Astyanax mexicanus: one gene and its partners. The protein of the gene in region 2 purifies or fractionates together with the protein of the main gene of each other region. This does not show direct contact. Links are inferred from orthologs where the notes say so. Each region holds a gene or a part of one and is shown on either strand. Other genes may lie near its edges.

Evidence for each region.
Region 1: the proteins of rpp30 (region 2) and pop4 purify together in Homo sapiens (affinity purification with mass spectrometry; 4 studies listed by BioGRID and IntAct, counting the BioPlex papers as one, with this or other methods). This does not show direct contact. The link is inferred for Astyanax mexicanus from reciprocal best matches to the Homo sapiens genes RPP30 and POP4.
Region 3: the proteins of rpp30 (region 2) and pop7 purify together in Homo sapiens (co-immunoprecipitation; 4 studies listed by BioGRID and IntAct, counting the BioPlex papers as one, with this or other methods). This does not show direct contact. The link is inferred for Astyanax mexicanus from reciprocal best matches to the Homo sapiens genes RPP30 and POP7.

What each region holds. Positions count from the first base shown.
Region 1 is NC_064430.1:24,491,795-24,499,209, reverse strand, and holds the start of pop4 (ribonuclease P protein subunit p29), read right to left. Parts: upstream 3,005-7,415; 5' UTR 2,918-3,004; coding exon 2,911-2,917; intron 2,598-2,910; coding exon 2,545-2,597; intron 1,967-2,544; coding exon 1,743-1,966; intron 529-1,742; coding exon 451-528; intron 350-450; coding exon 288-349; intron 169-287; coding exon 67-168; intron 1-66. Other genes in the region: shcbp1 (SHC SH2 domain-binding protein 1), read left to right, coding at 3,941-4,097, 5,261-5,476, 5,738-5,853, 6,706-6,914. UniProt on the Homo sapiens protein: Component of ribonuclease P, a ribonucleoprotein complex that generates mature tRNA molecules by cleaving their 5'-ends.
Region 2 is NC_064422.1:25,766,702-25,774,471, reverse strand, and holds the start of rpp30 (ribonuclease P protein subunit p30), read right to left. Parts: upstream 3,060-7,770; 5' UTR 2,786-3,059; coding exon 2,704-2,785; intron 1,304-2,703; coding exon 1,248-1,303; intron 1,151-1,247; coding exon 1,094-1,150; intron 1,007-1,093; coding exon 941-1,006; intron 844-940; coding exon 775-843; intron 549-774; coding exon 459-548; intron 154-458; coding exon 37-153; intron 1-36. Other genes in the region: kif20bb (kinesin-like protein KIF20B), read left to right, coding at 3,731-3,835, 5,318-5,407, 5,526-5,645, 5,751-5,889, 5,984-6,168, 6,879-6,939, 7,039-7,236, 7,391-7,502 and 1 more. UniProt on the Homo sapiens protein: Component of ribonuclease P, a ribonucleoprotein complex that generates mature tRNA molecules by cleaving their 5'-ends. Also a component of the MRP ribonuclease complex, which cleaves pre-rRNA sequences.
Region 3 is NC_064415.1:15,413,143-15,420,427, reverse strand, and holds pop7 (ribonuclease P protein subunit p20), read right to left. Parts: upstream 3,092-7,285; 5' UTR 2,861-3,091; intron 1,780-2,860; 5' UTR 1,744-1,779; coding exon 1,288-1,743; 3' UTR 487-1,287; downstream 1-486. UniProt on the Homo sapiens protein: Component of ribonuclease P, a ribonucleoprotein complex that generates mature tRNA molecules by cleaving their 5'-ends. Also a component of the MRP ribonuclease complex, which cleaves pre-rRNA sequences.

The DNA of each region.
Region 1 (7,415 bases), on a different chromosome or scaffold from region 2:
AACATATTTTTTTTGGACTGGGACATTGTGGATCTGGAAGACCACAGCACTGGAGTATTGTCTTACTTTTCAGTCTGTCTTCTTTGGTGATGATCTTAAAGACGTGCTTCAGCTCCTGCACCAGGATTCCAGTGGTCCCAACATAAGATGGACATTTTGATCGGACCACTGCAAGACAAAATAATGAAACACAAATAAATGTTGGGTAATCCTCCCGTATATATTGATGATATTTGATCAGAATCTGAGAGAGCTGTAGAGTGTAGAGTTGAGGAGCGTCCACTAACCTGTTAAAACTGCACCGTGGAAATCAGCCTTCAGGAGCTTCTGCTGGATGGTCTGTGGGTTGCTGTGGTAGATGTTACAGATTAAACACTGCAGGAATTAGAGCCAGACTTACAGTATCAGAATTTAAACTATCATATATAAATATATATTGATATTTATCACCTGCCAGGTTTGAGTCCGTTACACAGATCGATTATGTACTGTTTCCACAGCACATGTAGCGGCAGGAACAGCTCATACCTGCAGAATCAGAACCGGAAATAGTTATAATATTTACTTTAGTCTATTAATATAGTTATACATGGCAAAGCAATTTGCAACAACACCTGTCGACCACTTGGAACACCATAGCAACCAAGCCTTTCTACAGCAGTTACCTAGCAACAACATAGCAATCAACCAGTGGGGACTTCTTGAACATCCCAACCATTACATTTCTAGTTAAATACAGTCTAAAAGTGCAAACGTTTGGAAACATCATGTGTTCTTGAGTCAAAATTCCTTACAGAGAGACTTATTTACACTCACAGGGCTCTAGACTAACACAGTCCCAGCGTCCTGACGACAAAGCCGTTTCAAGCCGTTTTTGAGAAAACTGCCTGCTGGTTGAAGTATGACTGGGACTTTTCCTATTGCTTAGCATGTTAAAGTATATTCTTTTTTACGAACAATCAGCTTGCTAGAAAAGCCACAAGAGGAGGAAGGCCAATGTGGCACTAGCGGGGAAAGCCTCTAAAGAAATAATTGTGGTTGGTGGATCGCCATGTCAGTCAACTGGGGAGCTTCAAAAGTGGCAAAATTGCTGGCTAATGGCAGAACTGCACTTTTAAGATAAGCAGACATATCCTAAGGAACTGTGTTCTATACATTTCTTAATTGTGGTGGGTGTATTGCCATGTCAGTCAACTTGGGAGCTTCAAAATGGGCAAAATGAATCAGGGGAAAAAGCGTCAATTGCTGGCTAATGGCAAAACTGCACTTTTAAGATGAGCAGACATATTGTAAGGAACTGTGTTTTTAATTTTATTCTAAGTATAATTCCACTAGTTGAAAAAAAGTTTCTAACTGAAAATAAAATATAATTGTGTCTCTGTATAATATAATAACTTGACATTAAGGAGTCACAAATATATATATAACTCAAACAGACTGTCCAAACAACTGATGACATTATGGTAGTAAAATACACAAATACAATAGAAATGTAAACATAGATACATAGAATAAACATCTAAATATATATAATTTTTCACATTACTATTGTATTTGTTTTTGTATTGTTATGGGACAGATAATTTTCAGTTTGAGATGGTTCTGGGACGGTTGAGAATAAAGTTAGTCTGGAGCCCTGACTGGAGCCAAGTCACTTCATGTGAGGGGTCCTGATTTTTGCATTAATCTGCACTGCTGATGCAGGAATGTGGTGTGATGTTGTGATGAGATGTGGTACACACTTCTGATGCTCGGGTTTCAGCTGGAACACTTTTAGCTCCCGCCGTTCTTTAGCGTTGAGTCCTTTAGCTTTGGTCTTCTTTCCCCGGGTTCTGTTGGGTCTGGCGTACTGCAGGATCACAGCCTGGCGGAGCATCATGCTCTCGATCTCCTCGCCCTTCAGCTGCGGCAGGCTGCTCTTCAGGAACGCATTGGTGAACTTCTCCGCAGCCGTGCCAGGCTGAGACTGAACACACAACACAACACAGGCCAACATTGTTTTTTTATTATATACAGCTCTGGAAAAAATATGACACCACTTAAAAATGATAAGTTTCTTTGATTTTACCAAATTGAAAACCTCTGGAATATAATCAAGAGGAAGATGGATGATTACAAGCAATCAAATCAAGCTGAACTGATTAGATTTTTGCACCAGGAGTGTCATAAAGTTATCCAAAATCAGTATGTAAGACTGGTGGAGGAGAACATGCATAGATGCACGAAAACTGTGATTAAACCCAGGGTTTTTCCACCAAATGTTGATTACTGATCTCTTAAAATTTTATGAATATGAACTTGTTTTCTTTGCATTATTTGAGATTAGAAAGCTCTGCATCTTTTTTTGTTTTTTTCAACCATTTCTCATTTTCTGCAAATAAATGCTCTAAATGACAATATTTTTATTTGGAATTTGGGAGAAATGTTGTCCAACAATGTTCATTTTACTCAAACATAAACCTATAAATAGCGGTTCAAATAGCTTGGACTTATTGGTTTACTGTAAATAGAGCAAATCAGTCAGAACCTGAAAAGAACTCTCACCTGAACTCCTAGAAGTTTACCATCTTCTGGAGGAATACTGGAAAACGCTGCTTCTGTGAACAAGAAAAGAACAAAAAACAGCAATGACCGGCAAAGGAACACATTTCAGCTATTATGTTAAAAACATATAGTTTAGTGTTCAGTGACTTTAACAAAAAATAAAACAAAAACGAACCTTAAAGAACCTAAATCTAATGCTAGAGGAACGTTTAGTGTTATCTGGGGAAACAACAGCCCTGGATTGGTTATTTAGACTCAGTTCAGCAGGAAGACTCGGTTTACAACACACAACACTCACTAACAACCGCGCGTCGCTTTAATAAACCTGTTATTAATGTTATTAATACAATAATAATCCACACTTACCCGCCATGCTGGATCCACACCGGCTCCCCCAGTGCTGAAAGCCGATCACCGATCGCCAAGTCCGGTACGTGAGACCTGAGTAATCAACCGCAGCTTCCCTGATTCAGTCATTTCTACAGTACATGTGTTTTATGTCCTTTTTTAAAATACATTTTGGTTATAAATGTTATAAATTACTCAAAATTATTTCTAAAATGTCTAAATTTATAGTTAATAAAAATCATTTTTTATTTAGACCTCTGTATACTAATGTATTTATGTTTTTTACAAAAGACTTTCTGAGGTGTAGATGTCCTATAATGTTATAAACGGCATTAAACCTTTTTATAATAATAATAAAAAATACTTACCACTCCGTAAAGCTACAAAATTATTTCAAATTAGAGATTTAACATCTTTTTATTTAATACATTTTGAAGTGTAAACTTGTGTGTATAGTAAAACATTTTTTTCAGTTTTTGAGTTTTAAAGTCTGTCCCCTTTAAAAATAAAAAAGCATATGTTTCAGGTATTTTATGTAACATTATAGGTATGTATAAACAAAGAAAATATTTTATTTATTCTGATCTAGATCATTTAGTAAAAAGTTGTTTGCATCAAATTATGGTGCAAAATTGGACAAAAAATGTCAAAACTACACTATATTTAAAGCAAATAAAAATAAAAAAAATCGCAAGGTAATACACATAGACAAAAACAATCTTTTATTAATAATTTTATTTATAATTTTCTAATTTTATTTTTTTTATTTCTATAAAATCCACGTCTTTTACAAAAGCCCCGCCCCCTCTTGGGCGAAACCGCTCTCTATTGGTCCGCTGTCACCGGACGCCACTTTCTATTTGTCCGCGCGTTTGCAGGGTGGATTTGAATGCAGCTGATTTGAAGCGAGCAGTGAGGAGAGTTCAGTTATTTAGTTATTTTTATTTAATTTAAATTCACACTTTTTACACAGTTACGGGTTTATATGCGTGTTTATATATTTAGTTGATTATTTGTAGTATTTAGATTGTAGTTGAGTGTTTTTGAGATGAAGGCTGAGGGCGGTGGAGTGTGTGTATCTGAGGGTGGAGAGCAGCGGCCGGTGGATGATCAACAGCAACAACCGGACCAGACCGACCCAGAGCCAGAACCAGAGCCAGAGCCAGAACCTGAACCAAAACCGGCGCCCAGACTCTTACCCAGAGGTACCAGAACCGACTTACTGATTTACTAAGAAACTAATGCAGTACAGCGAAGTGTCAGTGAGACAGCTTAGAGATACAGCCAGCGGTTTAACACAACAACTTAGCTAGCACTAACTTACCAGCTAACGAGGTTAACAAACTAACGTTAGCTAGCTTACTTATAAGTAACGTTAAGTGATTGATTAATTAACTAACTAACTAACTAACCTAGCTAACTAAATAAGTAGTTATTATTTAATTAATGAACTAACTAACTAACTAACCTAGCAAACTAACTAACTAAAGTTACCTAAATAAGTATTTAAATAACAAGCAAACTAACTAGCTACCTAACTAGTTGACTAACTAACGTTACCTAGGTAACTAGTTAACTGACAAGTTAACTAACTAACTAGTTACTATCTATCTAACTAAATCACTAGTTAACTAACTAACTAACTTAGTTAACTATCTATCTAGCTAACTAAATCACTTTATACGGTCATGATAAACCTGGGAAAGTCATGAAATTCAAAAATAGCAATTTCCAAGGATTGATTAGTTTTGGAAAAATAAAAAAGACCTAGAACGTTTTGGAAAAGTCCTGAAAACCTTGTCCACAAATCCTTTATGTTTCAGTTTATTGAAGGAGAAAAGCTATTTTGAGCTACAAATACATCAGCTCAGAGTTAATTCAGTAATTTAGCCTTATAGAGTAGAGCTCTCAGGATCTGACACGCATTTTATTATTAAAGATTGAGTGTCAACATTTTTATCAGATTCATTTTAGGCCTACTATCTTCAATTTTGTTTTTGTGTCTGCACTGATGTTTTAAAAATCATATGGTCATGAAAATGTCCCTTGAAAAATCATGAAAATGTATTGGTTAAAACATGTATGAGCCATGAACATAACTATGACCATGAAAACTTAAAAATAAAACATAACTATAAAACCATTAACTGTGGTACTGTGTGTAGCAAAGTGCAGTTACAAATGACTGTTTATGTGGCCAGTTATGTTGACAAATTGATCCATCCTTAATAATGTCTCCATAAGCACAGAGCGGGATAACAGTAAAAATTCTGCAGAATTTCATTCAGAAAGTGAACATTTCTATGGGTAAAACGCAGGTATAGTGATGATATATCGCTGTAAGTGATGGGAACTCTTTCCTCTGTAGCGATGTTTCAGGATGACGAGCACGATGAAGAGGAGGATGACGAGGATGACGATGAAGAAGATGACAGCGGCACAGATGGGCTGTCTAACGATGAAAAGCTGTGCACACATTTACAGCGGGCCGAGGCGTTCGGGAGCGCGGGGCTGCCTCACATCTTCCAAACCAACCATCTGCTTTTCTACGAGAGATTCAAAGCCTATCAGGATTACATGCTCGGTAACTCGCTGCATATTAACCTCATCATCTGTAGATGTGTCACTGTTTATTATGTTCATAATCACATCTGCTGATCTCTATACTGAATAGATCAGCAAATGGATAAATACAGTATATATAATACTTTTTAAAATATTATATTAAAATTCCCTGAGGTATAATATATAAAGTATATAAAATATCTAAAATATAAATGTTTGACCTCCATTAGACCTCTGAAACCTCTCCTCACCCATCTCTGTCTCTGTCTGTCTGCTGCAGGCGACTGTAAACCTTCAGAGGTGCAGGAGTTCACTGCGGATTACCTGGAGAAGGTGGTGGAGCCATGTGATTGGCAGGCGCTGTGGCACACTGACATGGTTGATGTTCTAGTTGAAGTGAGTGCAAAGAGTATTTGCTCGTCTGCCTTTTCACACCTACACAAAATGACTAGTTTCTTTGATTTTACCAAATTGAAAACCTCTGGAATATAATCAAGAGGAAGATGGATGATCACAAGCCATCAAACCACCAAACTGAACTGCTTGAATTTTTGCACCAGGAGTAAAGCAGCATAAAGTTATCCAAAAGCAGAGTGTAAGACTGGTGGAGGAGAACATGAGTTATTCCACCAAATATTGATTTCTAAACATTTAAAACTTTATGAATGTGAACATTGTATATGAATATTGTTTTCTTTGCATTATTTGAAGTCTGAAAGCTCTGCAATTTGTTTGTTATTTTTGCCATTTCTTATTTTCTCCAAATAAATGCTCTAAATGACAATATTTTTATTTGGAATTTAGGAGAAATGTTGTCTGTAGTTTATAGAATAAAACAACAATGTTAATTTTACTTAAACATAAATAGCAAAATCAGAGAAACCTATTTAGAAACTGAAGTGGTCTTTTTATTTTTTTCTAAAGCTATATGAACTTGAGTGACATCCTTTTCTTAATCCATAGGGTTTAATATGATCTCAGCCCAACCTTTACAGCTATAAGAGCTTCAGCTCATCTGGAAAGGCTTTACACAGGTTTAGGAGTGTGTTTATGGAATTTTTTCTCATTCTTCCACAAATACATTCGTGAAGTCAGACATTGATGTTGGATGGGAAGCTCTGGTTATCAGTCTCTATTCTAATCCATCCCAGAGGTGTTCCATCAGGTTGAAGTCAGGACTCGACTGTGCAGACCAGTCAAGTTCTTTCACACCAGACTCACTCATGCATGTCTTCATGTGTTCTGCAGGTGGTGGATGTTGACTATAAGGAGCTGAAGGGGAAGGTGGAGCTAGTGGAGCCCCTGCAGTGCGAGTATCGAGGTTGTGACCTCACTGAGGACTCGGTGAAGACGTTACTGGAGGCCAAGCAGAATAAAGTCCCGCTGCAGGAGCTCCATGTGGTTTATGATGAATCCGGAGAATTCGACCAGACAGCTCTCGCTCTGGAACATCTCAGGTTCAGCTCTCTTACTCAGTTACTCACACACATAACCACACACTCTACATGGAAGGCACATGGAGATGGTTGGAGTTATGCAATAAGGAGTAACCATTTCAATTCATATAGAAATCACATTAAAATCAGTGGATGAAGATATAAATCTGTACCAGTGGTAACATATTTAGAGTTTATACTAAAAAAGAATGGAATGGTAGAAGCTTAAATTGAACTAGAAAAGGTTTTAATAATCAAAATTCTTGAATGTTTGACCAACGTTTTTATTTTCTTTTTTTTTTATTTTTTATTTTTTATTTTTTTTACATCCTGGCATAAATACCAACAAAACACTTTTTCCTCAACTGTGTTATTATAATCCTAAATTTACCTCAGTAGTGCTGTTCTAATCCTGAATTTACCTGAGTAGTGCTGTCCTAATCATGAATTTACCTTAGAATGGTATTCTAATCATGCATTTACCTCAATAGTGCTGTTCTAAGCATGAAATTACTTCAGTAG
Region 2 (7,770 bases):
TTTATCAGTGACAGTAAATATGGTATATTACATTACCTTTCCCTTGCACACAGATATTAGATTGACGGCATTTGTGATGGTGTACTTCTTCATGGTGGGGTCTCTAATGCCTGCTGAGTAGCTTATCTCGAAGAACACTCCCCTTTCAATAGCCTTAGAGAATCAACAGAGAAGAGCACAAATTCACAATTCTTACATTTGTAATATGATATTTTATTTTAAGTTAATTTCATATAATTATGGCAATAAAAAAAATAGTATTATATAATATTATATTATATTAATATTAAATTAATTTTAGAATAACATTTTCTATAACTTAGTCTCAAATACTTTTTAGTTTTTTTATTGAGGTTATCTAGAGAGAATCAGATCACACACACACACTACAATGTAGTAAGCATATAGTGTAACCAAAGCTATATATTAATAAAGTAATATTTTACATTTCTACTCACCCCGTTTACCGGTGACCTCTTGAAATGGAAGGACTGTGGTTCAGTGGCTGATATGCAGATAATATCCACATCATAGTTCATGCAGGCTGCCTGTTGCAATAACACACAATACACACATAAATAAAACTTTTTATATATAATCCACATCATTATGCATGTACAGTTTCAGCAGAGTTTTAGAAAAAAACAACATCATGTTTGTCATTTTGGAAGACAAAGTAAAGTTGCAGGATATTACAGAACTAAACAAAGAGAAGAAATATTTAGAGGGGACAACAATATAAATTTACATATTTACAGAAAAAGTTGAACTTACATGGAAGAGTTTGTCTGTTTTGGGATGAACGGCCAAAAGGTCAAAATTCTTGTATTCATTAGTAGGCCTCTACAGTAAATATCACAAATATAATCAGTTTAAAAATCAGATTTCTGTGACTGCAGTTCATAACAACATGATTACTTAGTATTTCAATTGCACTTACAAAGTGAGAGGCATCTGTGGCCACAACTGTCAATCGGTTCAGCACTTTAATAGGTCTGGATTTTCCCTACATGTGAACGAGAGTGCAGAAATTAGAAAACTAGAAAAAAAGACTCCCACATAGATTGTGTATAGTGAGATTTTGTAAAGTTACCTGTACTGTTGGAAACGTCTCAAAGAGCTCTGCTAAGGGTTGCGGAGTCGGAATTAGCTGCATTCAACATCAACACAAACATGAGAACGAAGTTAGCTGAGAAATAATGAATCGGGTTAATAGCATTCTGAAGACGTTTGGTGAGGTAAAATACCTGTTTCTTCTTTTGCCCCTCCACTACATAATTTATTGCAACTGTGGAGTAGCCAACTGAAAGAGAAAGAAACCTGCAGTTCAGTGTTACTGATAACTACCTCACAATAAACTACTACCTCATCTGTGGATAATAACTATTACTATAAATTACCTTATCTGTAAATAACAGTGGATGATACATGGATAGTAGTGTATCGTGTAAGAAAATATCGATATATATATATATCAATATTTCGTTTACCATCGCTGTATCTATAAAAAAAAAAAACAGTTTATACCCTCCTATTGTAATATACACTGTAAATCTGTACACCATAATCCATTGTCTTTTCAATCTCTTAATCATTGTAAATATTCTGTAAAACATATTTATACTACCATATTCATATTCATCCATACCTATTTATATTAAGCATATTTTGCTGCTATTGCACTTCTTGTTAGATTCTAAACCTAAATTATTCCATTGCTTTGTACTTGTACATTATAATGACAATAAAGTTAAGCTACTTTAATATATATACAGCTCTGGGAAAAATTAAAAGACCATTTAAAATGACGAGTTTCTTTAAATTTACCAAATTGAAAACATATGGAACACATTCAAGAGGAAAACAAATGATCACAAGCAATCCAAAACCAAAAGCAGCATGTAAGACTGGTGGAGGAGAACATGCCAAGATGCATGAAAACTGTGATTAAAAACCAGGGTTATTCCACCAAATATTGATTTCTGAGCTCTTAAAACTTTATGAATATGAACTTGTTTTCTTTGCATTATCTGAGGTCTGAAAACTATTTTGCATATTTTTGTTATTTCAGCCATTTCTCACTTTCTGCAAATAAATGCCAATATTTATATTTGAATTTGGGAGAAATGTCTGTAGTTTATAGAATAAAACAACATTGTTCATTTTACTCAAACATAACTATAAATGGCAAAATCTGATTCAGAAACTGAAGTGGTCTCTTTATTTTTATATTTATTTTATTTATTTTTATATAAGAGCTGTATATAAAGGTAAACAAACACAGATTCACACACTGTCCTCTAGTGATGTTTTCAGGATGATGTTCAGTACATGTTCAAATAATGGAGAGTGCTTTAAGGAACTTTACACAGATTTTATAGCGTCTGCATAATTAAACTACATCTATATTATATATTTAGCACCTGGTTATAGTTTGTATCTGTATAGAAATACACAGACAAACAATGTTTTACTTATTATCATTTTTATCTCAGTATAATGGGACTCAAGTGGTGGAGGTCGAATTCCTACAGAGTGTAGGGATTTTCCTACAAACAAACACGCCTCCTTCAACTCAAGTTAGCGCTTCATTGCCAGCCAAGTTGAGCTCATGTGTCAGAAAACACGCTAACGCTACTGAAAATCCCAGTGGTTCCAGATACGTTATGTAACACTAGTGAACTGTCTAAAAGTGAAACTTACGGTGAGCGGCGGTCTCAATAGTGCTCTGGAACTTTGCCTTGTCAGTGCCAGCGGTGATGTTTAAATCCATAAACACAGACATATTCCTTTTTTTAAATACAAATTAGATATCTAACCTAGGATAGCTAGCTAACCAATGTAGCTACTTACAACACAGCCAAAAACAAATATACACATGGGTTTATAATGCTGAGAGTAATATCTGACAGAGAACAGGCTTTCTCTAGCAATATTGTAATTGTAATTATTTTGTAGCCATGCAGCGTTGCTAACTTATTAAGCTAGCTAGTTAACTTACAATGCTAGCGAGCGGTACAGCTTGTTGAAGCATGGACACTGTTTAAACATGTGGGTTTGCGATTTTGATGGCTGCTCTTGGGAATTGTAGTTCATATGTGTACATCAGTCCATTAAATCTTACCACAAGTCGAACTGCTTAAAACTACATCTTCGTGACTTCCGGTCCCAACGGCCACTGCGGCTCGCTGGAAGCAATTTGATTGGTGCGATTTGAACGGAGGACCGCGGCAGCCGTGAACACAACAGTACTAAACTAGGCGCTCGGTACATATTATGAACAGGGTTAGATTTAAACCGGTTTAAAACTAGCTAAATAGTCTTGCTAGGGATAGTTGCGTGTTAGTTTATCTGTAGTTACACAGCCAATATGCGTTTTAGTTCGTTTTAGCTTATTTGAGCTGCTTTTGAAGCGTGTAGGATAGACGCAGGTTAACGTTAGCTAGGCTGGCTACGCTAGGTTACGTCCTTTCAACTGTGTTTTAAGCTAGCTTGGTTTGCTAGTTAAATAATAAGATGAATAACTAATTTATCATCACACTCCGCTTCTTTTACTATGGATACAGTCTATCAGCGGTAGCAACGATTAATCAGGGAAGTCTTAGCGTTATTTAAGGTAGGTAACTTAGCGTTGGTATACTCACACTGCTCTATTCATTAGTTACATGCTGATCAGCAGCGTGTTGATGTTCCTCACTGAGGTCTGTTTCTCTTTGTCTCTTTTAGAGTCATGGAGTCCAGCTTGAATTATAAACCGGAGAGAGTGGGAGCTGTCACTGTGGAAGATCTGAGAAAAGATCTGTTTGTCGAATTCTCCAAAATACCCACAACCCAGGTATTGTTTCCCTGCTTAACCTTCATCTTTTATCGTCTCTGTCTGTAACAGCTAATACTAGACCTGGTATAGTTTACTACATTGTATACAAGTGTTACCACCAAGTGTTACCACCAATCCATGTCAAGACTTATAGAGTATATTAATGGATCTTTATATTTATGGATATTTAATCTTAATTTTATCTATAAAATCAGTCAGGTCCAGCTGTCCCAGGAAATTCAACCTTGACAGTTGGTGTCAAAATAGGGCTGGATGAATTGGCAAAAATCTGTATCACGCAGGAGTGTGCTATGATGTATCATATTATATGCAATAATATCTCCAACATTTTAGACACAATGAAAAAACTCCATATCATAATATATACAGTATTGTTGACAGCTGTCTAATTGGTGCTTGATTTGCTATATATTTACCATATTTATTTTTGTTTTGATTGTTTGTTTGCAGTTTATATGTATGCACTAAATATGCTGCACTTTTGTGGCCACATTGCTTTATTATTTCTACATTGTTTATTATTTTTGTCACATTTTGTTTTATGCAAAATCAGTATTGATAAGCTACTGTTTGCAAAATTGACAAATGGTTATAGATGTTTTTCTCTCTACTGAATGTAGAAAATAAAATAATGTATTTATTTTTGATTTATTTTAAAATTTATTTTAAATGAGTTCTGCTGCAGTTTATTTTTAAATGAATAAATTGTCCTATTGTCAAGAAGTTTGCTATCTCAAAAACACCTTAACATATGGTGGTGATATTTTAGGGTCATATTGCCCAGCCCTAATATCACAATATATTTCATCTATAACAATTCTGATATTGATATTAACCGTATAAAAGCCACAACCATTGGTGTATGTAATTACAAACCAACAGAGCTGGGTGATATGGTACCAATATTATATCACAATGTTTAAAGACATTTTCACAATACCCAGTACTCAAGCAGACAAAATGCATCAGATTCTCCTAGTCAAATATTCTTTCATGCACTGTACATTGATTCTTATTTAATTTTTGCTGCTCATCTTGCATCTGGATATTTGGTTGCACATGGTCAATACAATTTACACTCTCTGTAATGAACTGTACAGTTTGGTCGCTGTTCTTTAAGTAATGATGATATCCTCAATATGCTTATTGTCGATACAATAAAAATATTTATTGCAACACAATAAAAGATTTATTATATTGTCTAGCTCAATGTCAAGTACAGAATCTTCCATCAGATTGAGCCAAAATAAAGTAGATTTTCATTATATACAGAAAACAATTAAATTATCTTGCCCCACATTTTGTTTCGGTGCACCTGATTCTGTTTTAGCCATTTTAATAAATGACTACCTTTTTATTGTTGTTGGTTACATTTCACAAATTATTTTTGAGATTTTCTTTTACATTTTTCTTTGTATATAACAATTAAGAACAAAATCTGCATTTTTTTTATACAACGAACCATGCTTTGCTTTATAGGACTCTGTGTTATTGGAGAGGGAGCATTTGCAGGTCTACCTCAGGATACGCCCTTTTACCTCCACAGAGAGTGATTTCGGTGAATCACAGGTATCGAAATATTTATAATAAGCTGGTGTTAAATTTTAGATGCAAAGCATAACTGTAATAGTGTAAGCAGATGGTAGAACTGTAATTATATTTTTTTAACTGTGATTTTCCTGACTAGGACTGCATTTCAATCGAGTCTCCAGACACTGTGGTTTTAAAGGCTCCAAGATCATCTCTAACAGCCAGGCAAAGTGAGAAACTAGGACCTCAAATTGCACAGAGATTTCAGTTCTCAAAGGTACACAGTCTAAATAGTGTTCATCTACCCTGTAAAATCTGGCACAGTGAAAAACCTTTAACCCTGTGTTAATCATGTTTTGTTAAAACTGATGATATTGTGCAGGTGTATAGTCCAGAAACTACACAAAGGCAGATATTTGATGGAACAACAAAAGCTCTTGTGAAAGATGTTCTGGCAGGACAAAATTCCCTGATTTTCACCTATGGGGTTACTAATGCAGGGAAAACTTTCACATTTTTAGGTGAGTTTTTTTTTCTTTTAGGTCTCATTTTTGTTTTAATTGGAATGTTAACTTATATAATATATGTAATCCATTTTCCGCATCTTTTTCTAAGGACCTGAAACCGATGTGGGAATTCTGCCAAGGTCACTGAAAGTGATCTTTAATAGTATTGAGGGAAGAATCTACACTCAGAATAACATCAAGCCCCACCGCTGCATAGACTTCACTCGACTGACTAAGGATCAGCAGGATGCAGAGGCTACAATTAAGAAAAACCTTCTGAGAAGATATAAAGAGGTATAACTTATTATTATTTTGTTTTTCTTTCATATCACAATATAGCGGTTATTAGTTAATATATTGTGATTCTGTAAGCAAGACTTTGTATTGTGATCTCAAAAAGTCAAATTTTAGGAACACTGTCATTGTTTAAAAACACACGACTATAAAATCTGAGCAAAAACGTTTACAAGAACAGTGGGATCTGAAGAGTACAACACTTCTATCTAGCACTCAGGGTTTAAAATATAAATATATACTCTTAATAATTTGTTTTTGAGAATCAGTACAGTATTGCAAAATGTAATTTCACAACACATTTGGTTTATCAATATTTTCCTTAACCCCTACTAATAAGGGTTCTGAACTGCTGACGCTTTAATTTGATTAGAAAACTCTTTAGTTCTTCATAATTTAAAACATCATCTTGATTTGATATGATTATTTAGGTTCTGTGACGAAGACAAAAAACAAACAAACTTAGTTTTGAATGTTTATAATTGTGTAATGATGAGGGCATAATTGTTATATAGTCAATAGTAATTTATAGTATTATAGTATTTATATTTACTTAAATTACTGTCATTTAAAGTGCTGCCTCTTGATGTGTGGTATTTTATATCTTGATAGAAATAATTAATTATAAATTTTTGTACATTTTCATGCATTTTTTATTTATTTATTTATTTATTTATTTTACATGTGCCCTTTGTCTTCCTTTTTTGTAGAATGATCTGCAGAAAAGCAGCTCTAGTATGTCAAATTCTGCTTGTAGCACACTGCTTGAGGGTAAGAATCATTTAAATTTATGTTGTTGTTATTATGTATTTATAGTTTTTGTTTAGATAAGGCAATAGACAGTGATTTCGGTTATTCCTTCACTTGTAGGTTCCAGCTGCAGTGATCTAAATGAAGACAGTCTTTGTTTGGAGGAAGACTCTCATGTGAAGTTCTCAGTTTGGGTCTCCTTCTGTGAGATTTACAATGAAAACATACATGATCTGCTTGACTTTGCCTCGAGTAGTTCTCAGAGAAGGAGCGTACTTCGGCTTTGCCAAGATGTCAAAGGCAACACGTTTGTCAAAGGTAAGTGGATAGATTGATGATTAGTCTGGTGCTTCTTTGCTGCTTACATTGTGAAAGATTCATTTTTTAAGGTGTTTACTTTAAAACACTTGATTTATACTCTATACTTTTTTTTTTTACTTTTACTGGAACTGCTTCTTTGACTTTTCCACAGATCTGACATGGATTCAGGTTAACAGTGCAGATGAAGCCTACAGAGTTTTGAAGATTGGGAGGAAAAATCAGAGCTTTTCTTCTACAAAGCTCAACAGTGTTTCCAGCAGAAGGTAGTGTTTGTACTATTGTTTGTTTATTATGAAGTTTAACAAGCAGAAATGATTTATAAAGTGATGTAAAATGTAACTCAAATTGTCTATCTTGTTTTAGTCATAGTATTTTCTCCATCCGAATTCTGCGAATCGAAGATATGTGCGTTCCTCGAGTCCAAACAATAAGCGAGTAAGTCTACATTTATTTTTCTAATGTAGTGGATAGAGGTGGTGTAGCAAGTCATTCTGCTCACAGTTTGATTCTGAATTAACAAATTGATTTTCT
Region 3 (7,285 bases), on a different chromosome or scaffold from region 2:
GTAAACTTCTTAATTATGTTGGGCACTGTGGACAAAGGAACATCAAGATCTGTGGGGATGGATTTAAAACCTTGAAATTCAGTTTTCTACTTTCTATTCGTATGATTGTATTGTGCCCAAACCTGTTACTGGCCACACGTGAATGTAAACGAGCATTATTTTAAAAAGGTGCAAATAATTGTGTCTGGCCCTATTTTGTAATTCTTTGTGAAATAATACATTTTGGCTTTTTCTGTTTTTAATACACACAAAGAAGATTTTTTTGGAAAAAATATCTTTTTTCTGGAAACACGTTGGGGGGCCAAAACGGCCATGACTGTGTAAATCAATCCAGTCCAGCTTCTAGTGCTCTTAAAGACTATGCACACCATAAGTCGAGGGGTAAAGACACTGGACAGATGCAAGCATCTGTATTCTTGCAAAAATAATAGACGCTATACTGCCCTCAAGTGGACAGCACAAGCTAAAAAAATATCACAAACGATATGCAAGCATGTGTTAGTGTTTTATTTACACACATATACATCAGAAAATAAATCTGAATATGCTTCTCAAACAGTGAAAATAAGACTTAAAAATATAGTATGTTCACAAACGAACACAAACTGTTTCAGACAATACAACAACATGCATAGGCACCTTAAATAATATTTTGTACTTGTGGACAGCACATTAATACAAAATGTTCTATTTTCTTCAAGTTTTATCAAAATATCAAACACCTACACATATGAATGACCTCATGAGCAGTTTCACAGACATACATCAAAGCACTGATCTAATGTTCTCCTCCAGTGCCATAAGAAGACAAGTGGGTAGAATATAATATTGGGTCAGCTACTTCCATACCAGGCTCTCTCATATCAGGGCTAATCGATTTACTGATTCCAATTTAGATGTGTGAACAACTCCTAGGTTCTTTCACTTGGCAAAATAACCCAAAAAATATATAGGGACACAAACTGATTTGCATTTTAGAAATATTAATCTTTCGCACCCTTAAACATATCTCAAAACTTTTTTGGCCAAATAAAGTGCTGACAGAATTTGTTTTTACTGATCTTCACATTATGTAAAGGCTCTCAAAAAATATTTTTAATACTGTCCTTAAACTGCACATCCAAGCCATGTATTATTTAAGAATTTAATCCCAAATGATTCAATTGAAAAGTCTTAACATTCAGTAGCTATTAATGAAATTAAAGGTCAGATTATCCCTCTATGGTGATGGATTTCCTTCTTTCCCTTTTTAATAATATTTGATTTTGTGTAGCTGACTGTAACTTTCTAAGCATTGGGGTAAAACACTTTAATGTGGATAGCCGAGTTGTTCCTTGTTCGTGTTAGTGGCTCTCCAGCTTCATCTGGGTCTTCTGGCTCCAGATCGTCTACTAGCTCTACCGTGGAGGTGTTCGCAGCCAGCTGCAGTGCCCCCTGGCTGAAAGCCTGCAGCTGCAGTGCGATGTTAATGGCCCGGTTAATGGCGAGTCCCAGACCGTGGATGCAGATTTCCTTGTGACCAGCACCGCCATCCAGCAGTTTCTGACACCTGGCCAGCTGGGCCTTGAAGTCGGTCTTCATGTTAATGTATACATCGTTGCGTCTCTTGGGCAGCTTTCTGGGCAGCCGTTTGCGGAGGGTGTATTCCACTGGGTCCATCTCAACAGTGTTGCCCTCAGGTGTTGAAAAACCTAGTGGGTTCTGAGACACCGAACCTGGGACTTGACTTCGTGGATCTGCCATCTCGGGGCTTCTGAAGAGGATCAGCAGAGATTAAATCTGACAATGGAAACATAGAGCAATTTAACGATTAACAATGTCTTTTTAAAAAGTATTGTTTACTCCTAATCCACACATGTACTGACAATTAAACATTTAATATCAAAGAAGATGTATATTAAATTTACCATTAGATAAACAATAAATATTTAGATGGAGTGGGCCTGGGTGGGGTGGGATATTCTGGGAGCTTTTGCAATTATGTTCTTGTTGATATGAAAACAAAAAAATCCCTAATTGAAGTGAACAATACAACATGTAATGATACTAACAATGCTCTCAATATATCCAGTGTTGGAGTAAAATAATATGATGCCAGGATTCATTGGGCAGGAATTGTGAAAGGGTGGTTCAGGGAGCATGAGATCATCATATTCACACATGGATTGTTCACCACAGTGTCCAGACCTTAACTCCATTGAGAATCTTTGGGATGTGCTGAAGAAGGCTTTGGGTACTGGATTAAAATAAATCTTGTGACATTACAGAAGCTTATCGAAACAATGCCACAGTGAACACAGGGACAATTCTACTAGAGAAGGTTGGGATAAAAATAAGTGATGGATGGCAAAACATCCTGTGACATACAACATGATCAATCAGCCTTTCCTTATATATATATATATATATATACATAGAGAGAGAGAGAGAGAGAGAGAGAGAGAGAGAGAGAGAGAGATAGACAGATAGACAGACAGCAAAAATCTATAAAAAAAAACATCCTCTGTCACAGAAACATGATCAATCAGCCTTTCCACCACAACCTAATCTAACCAGAATCACCATCTTAAGCAGCAGTCTTTGCAGCAGTGTTAGCTAGCTGTTAGTTGTGAGGCTATCTCGTGTATGATATTAAATAGGGTGTATTTCAGTGTTTGCTGAAGGACTGAAGGACTAGCTAGTCTGTCACTCACTGACCACCCACCCGTACACTGGAAAGCATGGCGAGGAGTCTAAACACGTGGAATATAGACTACACTCCAGTTCTCGCTCTTTACATTGAATCAACCTGCAACATCGTACACCTAATTGCAGATTCTGATTCAAATAAACATTCAAAAACAATGTAATAAACAGGTACCTGCTCTGCTCTGGGGGCTCGTCACACCGCCTCACTGTAGAAGATGCCGGATGTGTTACCAGCTTTTTACCGGAAGTGATGTCTGTCTCTCGTGTGTTTAGGGACGTCTGTATTTAAAATAGTAAAATAGTGACTGCAAAACAACCAGTGAGTCACAGACATACAGCTGTAAATGTAAAATGTTACCCGGTGGAGCAAATCGCCATTCAAACAGCCGTCTCTGTTTGAGTACCTGCGCCTACGACGCGCTCTGTACAGATGTATAAGCAGTGTGATGGGGATTCAGCGGCAATGCGCCTAATTACCGCGTGGCGCACATGTCTTATAGATCAGCGGTCGCTCGCTCCCCTAGAGCAGAGCACCTGATTATATTCTAATACATGTAATATATGTAATACAGTGCTCTCACATACCCATACTGACACTACTGCTTATACTTGCACTGTCATACTCACTTTAATTATCCCTACAACTGTGCAATTGAAAGAATGTGCATTATGCACTTGTTCACTATACCAGCTAAAATCTGGTCAATTCTGACCGCACTCTTATCAACACAATACTGGAACATAGTACTTGAATCAAAACAGTAGTGGAAGTCTTTTTCAGGAACTGATATGCACTCACACACCCCAAACCTGCACTACTGCCTATACTTGCACTGATCAATCATAGCCACTTAATTCCCCCTACGACTGTGACCCCCCACCCCTTTCAAACCAACTGGTACACTGTCATTTTATATTGCACTATTGTGTGTCTCTTGTCTAACGTGTGTCTATACAACTCTGGAAAAATTAAGAGACCACTTCAGTTTCTAAATCAATTTATCTGATTTTGCTATTTATAGGTAGATGTTTGAGTAAAATTAACATTTTTGTTTTATTCTGTAAACTACAGACAACATTTCTTCCAAATTCCAAAAAAAAAAAAATAAATCATACTGCAGAAAATGAGAAGAAGATGCAGAGCTTTCAGATCTCAAATAATGCAAAGAAAACAAGTTCATATTCATAAGGTTTTAAGAATTCAGAAATCTTTGGTGGAGTAACCCTGTTTTTTTAATCACAGTTTTAATGCACATTGGCATGTTCCCCTCCAGACTGCCTCTGAATAACTTTATGCCACTCCTGGTGCAAAATTCAAGCTGTTCAGCTTGGTTTGATGGCTTGTGATCGTCCATTTCCTCTTGATTATATTCCAGAGTTTTTCAATTTGGTAAAGGCAAAAAAAACCCATAATTTTTAAGTTGTATATGTGACCTTGCTGTATTGTACAATTAGTGTCATTCTTTTATTATTTATAATATTATATTTCTGTACTTTTGTCTACTCTTACTTAAACTTGAACTCTTGTCTCACGTATGTCTATATATCTGGCCTTGTTGTATTGTACTAGTATTAGTATTAGTGTCTCATTCTTTTATATTTATAATTTTATTCTGCTGTACCTGTTGTAACTTTGGGAAGGATGGTAACGTAATTTTAATCCTCTGTATGTCCTGTCCATATGCAGTAGGGGTGGGAATCGTTTACTATCTCACGATTCGATTCGATTCCGATTTTGGGGGCCACGATTCGATTCAAAATCGATTTTTGATTCAAAACGATTTGAATTATAAAAATTTCTGCTTCTGGCTTATGAATCTTATTGAAAAAAAACCCTCCATAATATACACTGGTCCTGGAGCAGGTAATGTGTTACAAAAACAATAAAATGTGCAGGAATGTGGGTCCTCAGTGACAGAGGAATCACTGGGATATCACAATGACGTTAATGAACAATAAATAAATAATAAATAACACTGCTTTATTACCAGGCTACTAGCGGTGGTGTGTAGGTGACGCTGCTGGGCTGATGTGATGATAGCAGTGGAGCGCTAAAGTTCAGGAGCAGCTGCTGATTAACTAGTTAATTTAAGGTCGTTGTATTTCTTCAGAAAGGGGGCAGGAGGTGGAGAAATTAATTCATATGGTCCATTCCTTAATTCCTCTGTGATGAGGAGCTGAAATTAGCTCTGATTAGCTTATTGTATTTTTCCGTTCCGCCTTAAATGCTGCAGCCCGCTGCCACCTGTAGCGTTATTTAAGGTGGAACTGGAAAGTTAGCTAGTTAGCTAGCTAACAGTTACTGAAACTAACTACTAGCGATCTTTTTTATGCTTGTTATGAAGCATTCTGCCATAAAACATTGAAACTACACGTTAATCTAATGTAATATAGTGCTTGTTCTGCCATCTTACCGGTGATTCTCAAACACCTACGCTCTGTGTGTGTCTGGAAGATCTCCGTTTGAAAGGACAAGCGCTATCCCCAGGGTTGCCAGGTCCAACAAAAATACCCAGCCCAAAATCAGTCTAAAACCCGCCCCTCAGAATCGATTTTGGGACATTTTAAATCGATTCTGAATCGTAGTAAATGAGAATCAAGATTCTTATGTGAATCGATTTTTTGGCACACCTCTAATATGCAGTATTGACAATAAAAATTAACTTTCCTTGATAATGAATATGTGACCACGTGTAGTTGCCTGCACACGCCGCCAGGGGCGCTGCAACCCCCCTCAGACAGGTTTCATATGTTACTCCAGTCAGTCGCCACGGAGTCACGTGGTCTCCGCCGAGCAGAACGGCCATCTTCCTAAAACACAAACAACAAGAGTAGCGAGCAGACGAGCTAGCAGCAGCGCAGCGTCGGAGAGAGAGAGAGCAGGACACATTTTATGTACATATTACACGCGGTTTGATGCGGATTATAACGCGATTATTGAGGACAAGCACGTCGGCAGCCAGAGACCACACGGTCACATGCGCAGGAGCCCAGACGACTGGAAATAATACGCATCTCTAGCTCCAGAAATTAAGGTGAGAGAGAGCCCCTCCTCTCCTTGAATGTTTTTGGGTTGGCTGGTATGAGAGAGCTAGGTTAGCTAGCTAAGCTAAATTAGCTAGGTTAGCTAGCTAGATCTGTTACAGATTTGGTGGAGCACTCTGGGGTCTTCCTGTCATCCGTGCAGTGGGCTAACATTGGCATGAAGAAGGCGGTAAGCTAAATAGCAAAGCCCTGTCTAAGGCTAAGGGGGTGTGGATAATGGAGACGGCGTTGGTGCTTTTCAAGCTGGCTAGGTAAAGGGGGTGGGGGTTGTGTTTGTAGCTGACTGAGCTTTGGCCATGGTTGAAGGCCACGGTGAGCAGAGGAGTTCAGTAGGACGGGTGGTCTGTGAAACAACAAGGGGAAAGGTGGGGAAATGAGGAGTGTGTACCACTGTGGAGGGTGTGTACACTAACTGTGTAGTTAGATTTAATTTAAGGTTTGAATGTGTTGTCCAATAACAAACCTAACTAGCTAGCTAACTAGTTAGCTTAGCTTGGTTTGCTAACTACCTAACCTAAATACTGTATCCAAGCAGCGCTACAGACAAGCATAGCTTATTGCCCCAGAGTAACCATCCTTGGTTAGCTAGCTAACTTGTTTTAAAATGTACATTTTTGATGTTGAAAAGTTACATTTGTGGAGAATACATGGTCTTGCTGCTCTAAATACAGGAACTCCCATACACATGCGAATACACCGCCCCCTTCTCTCAGTCTCTCTCTCTCTCGTTTGCATCTGCTTGCTCAGTTTGTTTTTCGTTCCACCTTAAATTCTTCAGCAGCCAACCTACCTAGCTGTTAGTGTATTACAAAATATAACTAACAACTGCACAATTTAAGGTGGAACGAGTAGTTATAAGACCAATCTATTTAAAACTAAACGTCATCTTCTTCTCCGTATACAGATGTTTGTGTGGAAGCTGTTAGTTTCTTTATATTAATTATTAACCTAAATATGACGAGCCTAAGTAGCTAATTAGGTAACTGAGTTAACTTGTTTTGAATGTATATATTTTATGGTCTGTCCACTCTCTGAATGATTTACTTTTTTTGTTTTAAAAAAAGAAATGTGGTCTAAATACAGAAATACGCTCACATGCGAATACACCTCTCTCTCTCTCTCTCTCTCTCTCTCTCTCTCTCTCTCTCTCTCTCTCGTGTGCTTCTTTTGCTCAGTTCCTTATTCCAACTTTCTTTTCCACCTTAAATTCTGCAGCAGCTAGATACGTTACAGTCTGTCCAGGCTTTGAACTGCCGATCCATTTAAGGTGGAAATACTAATTAATCAGTCAAATCCAATTTACTTTAATCCAATCTACTTTATCTTACTCTCCGTATACAAAAGTTTGTATTGGAGCTGTTTTACCTAATCTTAGCCAAAGCTCTGTCGATATGCACAGCCATTTCTTTTTTTCTTATATGAATGTGTAACCTTAATATAACGAGAAAGGCAGCTGTCCTAGCTGAGTAACTATGTAGTTAACTTACTTGTTTTAAATGTATTAAAAGTTTTATGTTGAAAAAAAAAATGTGGTCTCTTTCTATCACCTTCT